Linked DNA regions of Neurospora crassa OR74A. Each later gene encodes a partner of the first gene's protein in a complex. Links are inferred from orthologs where the notes say so. Each region holds a gene or a part of one and is shown in the gene's direction. Other genes may lie near its edges.

Region 1 (3,749 bases):
AGAGCTCGATGGCGGTTTCGGCGGCGACGATGCCGCCCATGGAGTGGCCGACTAGAACGACGCGGACCGAGGGATCTATGGTGGGCGATGAGGTTCCGGCGGCAACTTCGAGGTCGATGACTTTATTCATGAGCCTGTGATAGCGAGGGCGACCCATGTTAGGGATGGTTCGGGGCTTCAAGCATGTGACAGATGAAGGAACGGATGCGGTCGATGAGCACATACCAATCTCGAAATCGCGCTACGCACTCGCCCAAGTCCCCTCGAGTCTCATATTTGGGATATACCACGACGTTGACGTTTATCTTGGGTAGGTCGGCCGCGACAAGTTGGCGGAGGTGCTCGGTGAAGGCATAGTTGTCGCCAAAGGTCGACTCACCTCCCTTTGCATGACAATGTCAGTTTGATCTTGGCTGGCGCGTCGCTTAATCTCATTGTACATACCTTGAAGCCGTGGATGAAGCAGAGAAGTAATGTCTTTTTCATCCTTCCCCATTGAGACTAAGCAAAGTGGAAGTGGTGCAAAATGGATGTAGTGTAGGGGAGGCCGAGAGAATCCAGATGCGACACCCATGTAAACTTTCAACGTTGCCCCGGCTGTTACGGTGATCCTCCATCTAGCGGCAGCGTCATGTGCAGGGGCCTGCAGGGCCAGTGTGGGGGCGGGGCCGCGCTATGGAAGGGACCTCCCAGGGGAACTCCAGTGGATGATGCATGGACACCTGGTCCGGTCTTGCCCTTGCTTGCCGCTTGGGGCCAGATCCCATCTTCCACAGGGGCCGCGGCAGCTTTGAAATGTCATCTGTTCTCCAAATCCATACTTCTACTCTATCGTCATTTGACCTTCACTCCGATGGTACGTACCTAGCATTAGACCAAAGTTGAATTGGTACTTACAGCCGATATAATAGAATACGTCCCTGAATATTAGACCGATGTTTACTGCAAAAATGGAACTGATTCTGCCAACTCACCTGTCCCCATGGCGTTACTCGAATGTACTGTAAGATGCCCAGAAGTGGACAGACGGACATCCTACGCCTACCTACCTAGGTACTTGAAGGAACAGGTCGGGTTGTCTGGGGAAGACCTTCTTCTACCTGAAATGCGGCAGTCCAGCGGCCTTTGCAATGTGACGATTGAGCTTTTCAGAGCTTGACTCCCTGAATTGTCGGAACCAAGACACCAAAACCTAAGCCAACATGATACCCGTCTTATTATGGTGGGGGTACCAAAGTACTTGAATTTCAGTGGAGATTAGGTATCCCCGTGCGGGTCCCAGGATACTCGTCAGAGGTTTACGGGTGATTCCTGCAGGTTGCATTTCAAGTTGCAGTGTCCAGCGTCTCTGAAATAACAGGACATTGCTTCGCGCCAATCATGCTGCCAGACTTGTGGTGAGTGGGAGTCCGTGCTCAACACCCAGGCTGAACCGAGACGCGCCGAGTCGGCGACGTGCTTTTTGTCTTCTGCGACAACCTACCTAACGCAGCCCCTTCATCCATCCCCATCGATCACCCTGTCTGGTTTCGGCTTCTCCGACTGCCCCAGGGTCGATATCAGAATCAATCAGCTATCCGGTATCACCATCTTTCGAATCAACAAAAAGCACAGCATATCATGACCTGAGCGTTCTTTGCCTTACGTGGAGCTGCTTGGTTCCTTCTGTTCAATCCCATCATAGACTTCTATTTTCGCCCGTCAGCGTTCTCTCACTGCGCCTGCGCTCCTCTCTTTTGCGCGCGCGATCCAGTTTTCCTCTTGTCGCGACCAGCGTCATCGATCAGTCCTGCACGACATATTTCGTCTTCGATACTCTTAGCGGCGCATCCAGCACGCTTCCTCGTCCCACCGCGCTTCGTGCCACCATGTCGAACCCCGAACAAACCTTGGGCGTAACGCCTCCTATCTCGACCACGCTACCTACCGACGCCGAGAAACGACAGACCGAGGCCCTTCTCAAAGAGCTGCGCGCGCAGGGCACCTTCGAAAGTCAGGCCGAAACTGATAAGCGATGGGCGGTGCTCGCAGATCTCCAGCGCATTACTGATGAATTCGTGAAGAGGGCCGCGCAGGAAAAGGAGCCGCACAATGCCATTTTGATTCGCGACGCTCGAGGCAGAATATTCACATATGGCAGTTTTCGCTTGGGTGTGTATGGGCCAGGATCCGATATCGATACCCTCGTCGTTGTACCCAAGTACGTCACCGTCAAGCAATACTTCGACATCTTTCCCAACCTTCTTGTCGAAATGGCTCCCCCTGGCGCCATCACCGACCTGACTCCAGTACCCGAGGCCTTCGTTCCTATCATCAAGTTCGAGTATTCGGGCATCAGCATAGATCTTATCTTCTGTTCAATCCAGAGCCTTCGTCAACTTCCTGACGACAAGGACTGGAATTTGAACAGTAACAACCTCCTGCGCGGCTTGTCCGAAAACGAGGTGCGCTCGCTCAACGGAACACGCGTAACCGACGAGATCCTTGCGCTGGTTCCCGAAGAGAAGACGTTCAAGCTGGCACTTCGTGCAATCAAGCTCTGGGCTCAGAGAAGGGCTATCTACGCCAATATCATGGGTTATCCTGGTGGTGTGGCTTGGGCTATGCTGGTCGCCAGAGTATGCCAACTCTATCCGAAGGCGACGAGTGCTGTCATCGTCAGGAAATTCTTCACTATTATGCTCAACTGGCCATGGCCGCTCCCGGTTCTTCTGAAGAATATCGAATACAACCAGTCCATTACGCGTGTAGCGGTGTGGAATCCCAAGGTAAGTCAACCCCTCATCATTGTCGCGCTGATGTCTCACCACAGACTAGATATACCCGAGTGATCGCAATCACAAGATGCCCATCATCACCCCATCATACCCTTCCATGTGCGCGACACACAATGTTGGAAGGTCTTCAATGGCGGTCATTCAACAGGAGCTGGAACGGGGGGTGCAGATTTCCGAAGAGATCATGTTGGGTAAAAGGCCTTGGAAAGATTTGTTCGAGAAACACACCTTTTTCACCAACGGCTTCAAGTTTTACCTGACGGTCATCTCATCCGGCAGGACCAAAGAGGCGCAGAATACCTGGTCGGGCTTCGTCGAGTCAAGAGTGCGTGTTCTGGTCCAGAAGCTTGAGCTGCACCCTTCCATCGCCCTTGCCCGCCCCTTCAACAAAGGTTACGACAGAGTGCACCGATGCAAGACGGATGCTCAGGTCGAAGAGATTCAAACCGGAAATCTCACATACATGGTCAAGCCGACGGATATAGCCGCGAATGGGAGCGCCAAGAACGACAGCAAGGTTGAGGTCAAGGCGGAGATCAAGACGGAGGATGGTGTTGCACGGGAGCCGACTGTGCCGGCTGTCAAGGAAGAACCGAACGACGTGGTACATCTAGGAACGGTACCTCTAAAGCCTGAGGACAACTCTGTAAAGCCTGAGGCCAACGACTACGACGAAGACAAGGTTAAGCTGGAGGATATACCGGAGAAGGAGCCGGAGCTTGAGATTTACACCACTAACCATTACATCGGCCTGCAGCTGGTAGAGGGAGCTAAGTCTCTGGATCTGTCCAGAGAAGTCGACGACTTCAAGGCAATGTGCACCTCGAACGACATCTTCAAAGCAGAGTTGATGGGATTGACTATCCAGCACGTTAGGAATTTCGATCTCCCCGACGACGTTTTCGAGCCTGGAGAGACGAAGCCTGTTAGGCCAGTCAAGAAGAAGAAGCGTATGGCCGAAGGGGAACATGC
Region 2 (3,749 bases), about 2.9 Mb from region 1:
TGTTGATGCCCAGGTTTTGCGTCTTTGCGTCGTTAAAGAGCGTGGTCGCAAGCGCGTGTCGCATCGGCTCGTAGAACCCCAGGCGGCATCCGTTCAGGAGGATCTGGTAAATGTACGCGCACCCGATACCGCGGTAGATGCCGCCCAGTCCTTCGTTGCGCACGATCACGGAGACACCGTGGATCGGACCCCGGTAGAAGTGAGGGGAGGAGGTAGAGGATTGGAGCTCGCCTTGGAGCTGCATGCGGATCTTGACGGTCTCGAAGGGGTGCGTGGCGGTTACGGCGCCGCAGGCTGCGATGCCGCCGGCTATAAAGGCGCTGTGAGGGAGGGAGGGATGTTAGTCTGGGCTTGGGACCGGGAGGGGGGGGTTTGGGTTGGGTTGGGTTGCGCGCGCGCACTGGGCGCATTGTGAGGAGGGGAAAGGGAGAGCTTACCCTGCTGTTGTTGACATAGTGACGTTAGGGTATCTGTTTTGGGAGAATGTATGGGGAAGAAGGGTGAGGGAGGGGAAAATATCAGGGAGAACTCAAGTCGAGTCCCCAGAGTCTTTGGGTTGATTGCGACGGAGTTGGCGCGCAAAGTCAAAGAAAGGCGCAATGCCGAGTCTTGCCGGTGTTCGGAGAGAGAGAGGGGGGAACACGGGAACTAATTCGGGAGTAGGCCGGGGAAGGCGGGAGTGGATGTCACCGTATCACGGAGAGTAACGACGGCAATGAGGGGATGATCTGGGGAAAGATCAGATCGGTGTATGTACAGGTGTACAACTGAACGAAGTCACAACGAACGACGACGACTGCTTCTTTCTCCAGGAACAGGAAGGAAAGAGAAGACCACCGAGAGCTGTCCGGGAAATTTATTGGAGCTTCAAGGTGGCCTCGCCGGTCAGTCGCCGGGCAGACAAGGGGGTCGAAGTGATCGACTGGGACCAACTCCCGCTTTGGGTCAGGCACGGAAGTTGGTGTCAAGATCCTCCTCCGATGCCGTGGATGGGGGTGGTGCCCAATGGCGACGAGGCGAAGGAGTTGTAAGTGCTGCGGTTTCGGCGCGCGGACAACAGATTAATGTGGAGTTTCTGCGGTATGACAAGGGGGCGTGGCGGGTCGGGCGGCCCAGACGTGGACCCTGAATCAGAACCGGAAATGTCTGGGCCGGGGAACGCTGTCGTTGCTGCGAGGGAGGGTTAGGGCCTAGGCGCGATGGACGGCAACAAGTGTCCGAATCGGAGCTTGATGACAATTTCGAAAAAGACGAAGGTACCGAAAGCTTGGAAGACAGTCATACTGGGACCTCAATTGAGCATCCTACCGTAGTGTGTAACGATTGCCATTTTAGCTTCGTGAACATACACTAGCACCGTTGTCAATTGACTGCTCGGTTTGCGGCCAAATCACCAACGTATCCCAGCGTTGATGGAGTTTGTCCAGCTGTCACTGACATCGATACCTACTTACCCAACTGGTGTCGTTGTCCATGCAGTGACCATGGATCGAAACAAGGGTTAGGGTCTTGGGCCACTGCCAAGCCATTGTATGTACCTTGACGTCGCATTACTGAAGCTCTGTCTCTCCGCCCGGCAGAAACACCAACGCGGTTGACGGATGCTACTAAGTTTTGAACCAAACATCAAATAACTACCATCAATCCGATACTATACAATTTGACCCAATATATTTGCCCCGCCATCTTCTCTGGTTCTAGCCGGTTTCAATACGATCAATCGACCGCAATGTCATCGACACCGATGGACATCGACGAACCCGGCGCGGGAACACCCTCCCTGAACGTTACTCGGTTACTTGGGCCTAATGGGCCCAGTACCTCCAAGATCAGTGAGGTGATCAAGAATTTTAGGCCGACAAAGTTCTTCCAGAGAGACGACGTGAAGGAGGGTAGGCCCCAGCCATACGTTCTATCGATCGACTTTGACGACCCTGGCGAGCTTTGCATGACGTCTGAAAGCGACGAGACCATCCAGATATATAACGTTAGGGAAGGTCGGCATGACAAGAGCTTGCTGAGCAAAAAGTACGGCGTCAAGCATGCGAAGTTTACACATTCCAGCTCGGGCATCATCTATGCGAGCACGAAGCAAAACGGTATGTCACTGGACGCCCTTTCTCCCTTCAATGACTGCTCTTCGCTGACCTGGATCGCCACAGACGCAATCCGCTATCTGGCAACCCACGACAATACGTTTATCCGATATTTCGAAGGCCACGAGGCCTCCGTTACCAACATTGCTCTCCATCCCGGCTCCGATAACTTTCTTTCATGCAGTCTTGACACCACAGTCAGGCTCTGGGACCTCAACAGCAGGAACTGGGTTGCCAAATTCCATCTCACCAATCCCACTTTAGCGGCCTGGGACCCTGCTGGTCTCGTTTTTGCCATCGCCCTACCAGCCAGCGCCAGCATTCTCCTTTACGATTACCGCAACTACGTGAAACCGTTCAAGATCATCGACGTTTTGAAAGAGAAGGGGCCAGCTGATGCGGATGCCGTCTTCAGAGGCTGGACGAAACTCGAGTTCTCCAACGACGGGAAGCATATTCTTCTAGGAACACGGACCGGAGGACACTTCCTCTTTGACGCCATTGACGGGAACCTGAAGGCGTACTTGCGAAAGCCCCAAGGCGGCACCAGACGGCCAGCCCCTGGCGAGGCTGATGGTGGAAGCGGTGCGCTAGAGAGCAGTGGAGACTGTTGCTTTACGCCAGATGGACGATATGTCGTGTCGGGCGCGGCCAAGGACCTGTTGGTTTGGGACACATTGCAAACTCCCAATAACAAGGTTCTGGAACCGAATTTCCTTCCCCAGGAAGGAAAGAAGGAACCAGTCCTTGTGCAGTACAACCCAAGATTCAACATGATTGCCACTGCGGATAAGGAGCTTATGTTTTGGCTGCCGGTCTCCGATTTATAAACGGAGTCTATCGGAAACTGTTGGACCTCACCTCCATGGTCAACCCCACGGAATATGTGGGACCGGGCTTTGCCGGTTCAGCGCAAACGTCCGCTTGAGAAATATGAATTGGCGACGTTTATCTGGGCCGAAGTCGATGATCAAGAGTTCTAAAATAACTTTTCATTATTTCTGGACACCGATCGCTTCGTGGTTGTGGGGGCGTTGTCCCCATTGTGGCGCCGGGATACTTGGAGAGTTCCCCAAAAGCCGCACGCACGAGGAAGGGGGTTGTGGCTCAAACTGCACAGGACCCATGCCGCGATGTACGAAGGTCTTGGATGGTATCCTGTTGCTACATCAGGGCAGAGCAGAAGAGCGTCGTGGTAAGAGAACATGAGAGACGCCGGGAACAAAAGAAGATTTTGATGCACTGTACATGAGATACCCATTTTGCATTATTCGCCGGCGTATGGGAGTAGTTAGCATGCTTCAAAGGGTTCAGGTCGCGAGGCAAGTGGTCTGGAAGGCTGATTTAACCAGGCTCGTAGGAGGAGATGGAAAGGAATGGTCAAGATGAACAGCATGTAATGGTTGATCAAGTTGATTTTCACTGAGGGGATGATAGGCATTAGCAAATAGAGGAAGCTCAATATTGTTTACTGTCCATAAAGAATCTGACCATCAGGTAGTCTTGATGAAGGTTGAGTTCAATACCACCCTGAATCCCATATGTCAGGCCTTGGACGACGGGAGCTTAAAGTAAACACATCCCCTGTTGCCCCCTGTCATTAGAGGTATGCCCCGCATTTGAGCTGGATGGGACCGCGGTGAACCCCACCAA

Evidence for each region. Proteins that work in one complex are often made in the same cells at the same time.
Region 2: un-17 (region 1) and NCU07885 share a complex: the UniProt entries of both Saccharomyces cerevisiae proteins name them as parts of the cleavage and polyadenylation factor (CPF) complex. The link is inferred for Neurospora crassa OR74A from reciprocal best matches to the Saccharomyces cerevisiae genes PAP1 and SWD2.

Annotation. Positions count from the first base shown.
Region 1 is NC_026503.1:4,131,421-4,135,169, reverse strand, and holds the start of un-17 (Poly(A) polymerase), read left to right. Parts: upstream 1-1,308; 5' UTR 1,309-1,868; coding exon 1,869-2,768; intron 2,769-2,817; coding exon 2,818-3,749. Other genes in the region: NCU08984 (hypothetical protein), read right to left, coding at 1-134, 226-383, 445-486. UniProt on the Saccharomyces cerevisiae protein: Polymerase component of the cleavage and polyadenylation factor (CPF) complex, which plays a key role in polyadenylation-dependent pre-mRNA 3'-end formation and cooperates with cleavage factors including the CFIA complex and NAB4/CFIB.
Region 2 is NC_026503.1:1,232,239-1,235,987, forward strand, and holds NCU07885 (WD repeat containing protein 82), read left to right. Parts: upstream 1-1,602; 5' UTR 1,603-1,729; coding exon 1,730-2,099; intron 2,100-2,162; coding exon 2,163-2,926; 3' UTR 2,927-3,572; downstream 3,573-3,749. Other genes in the region: NCU07884 (mitochondrial oxaloacetate transporter), read right to left, coding at 1-320, 438-454. UniProt on the Saccharomyces cerevisiae protein: The COMPASS (Set1C) complex specifically mono-, di- and trimethylates histone H3 to form H3K4me1/2/3, which subsequently plays a role in telomere length maintenance and transcription elongation regulation. Involved in mediating RNA polymerase II termination.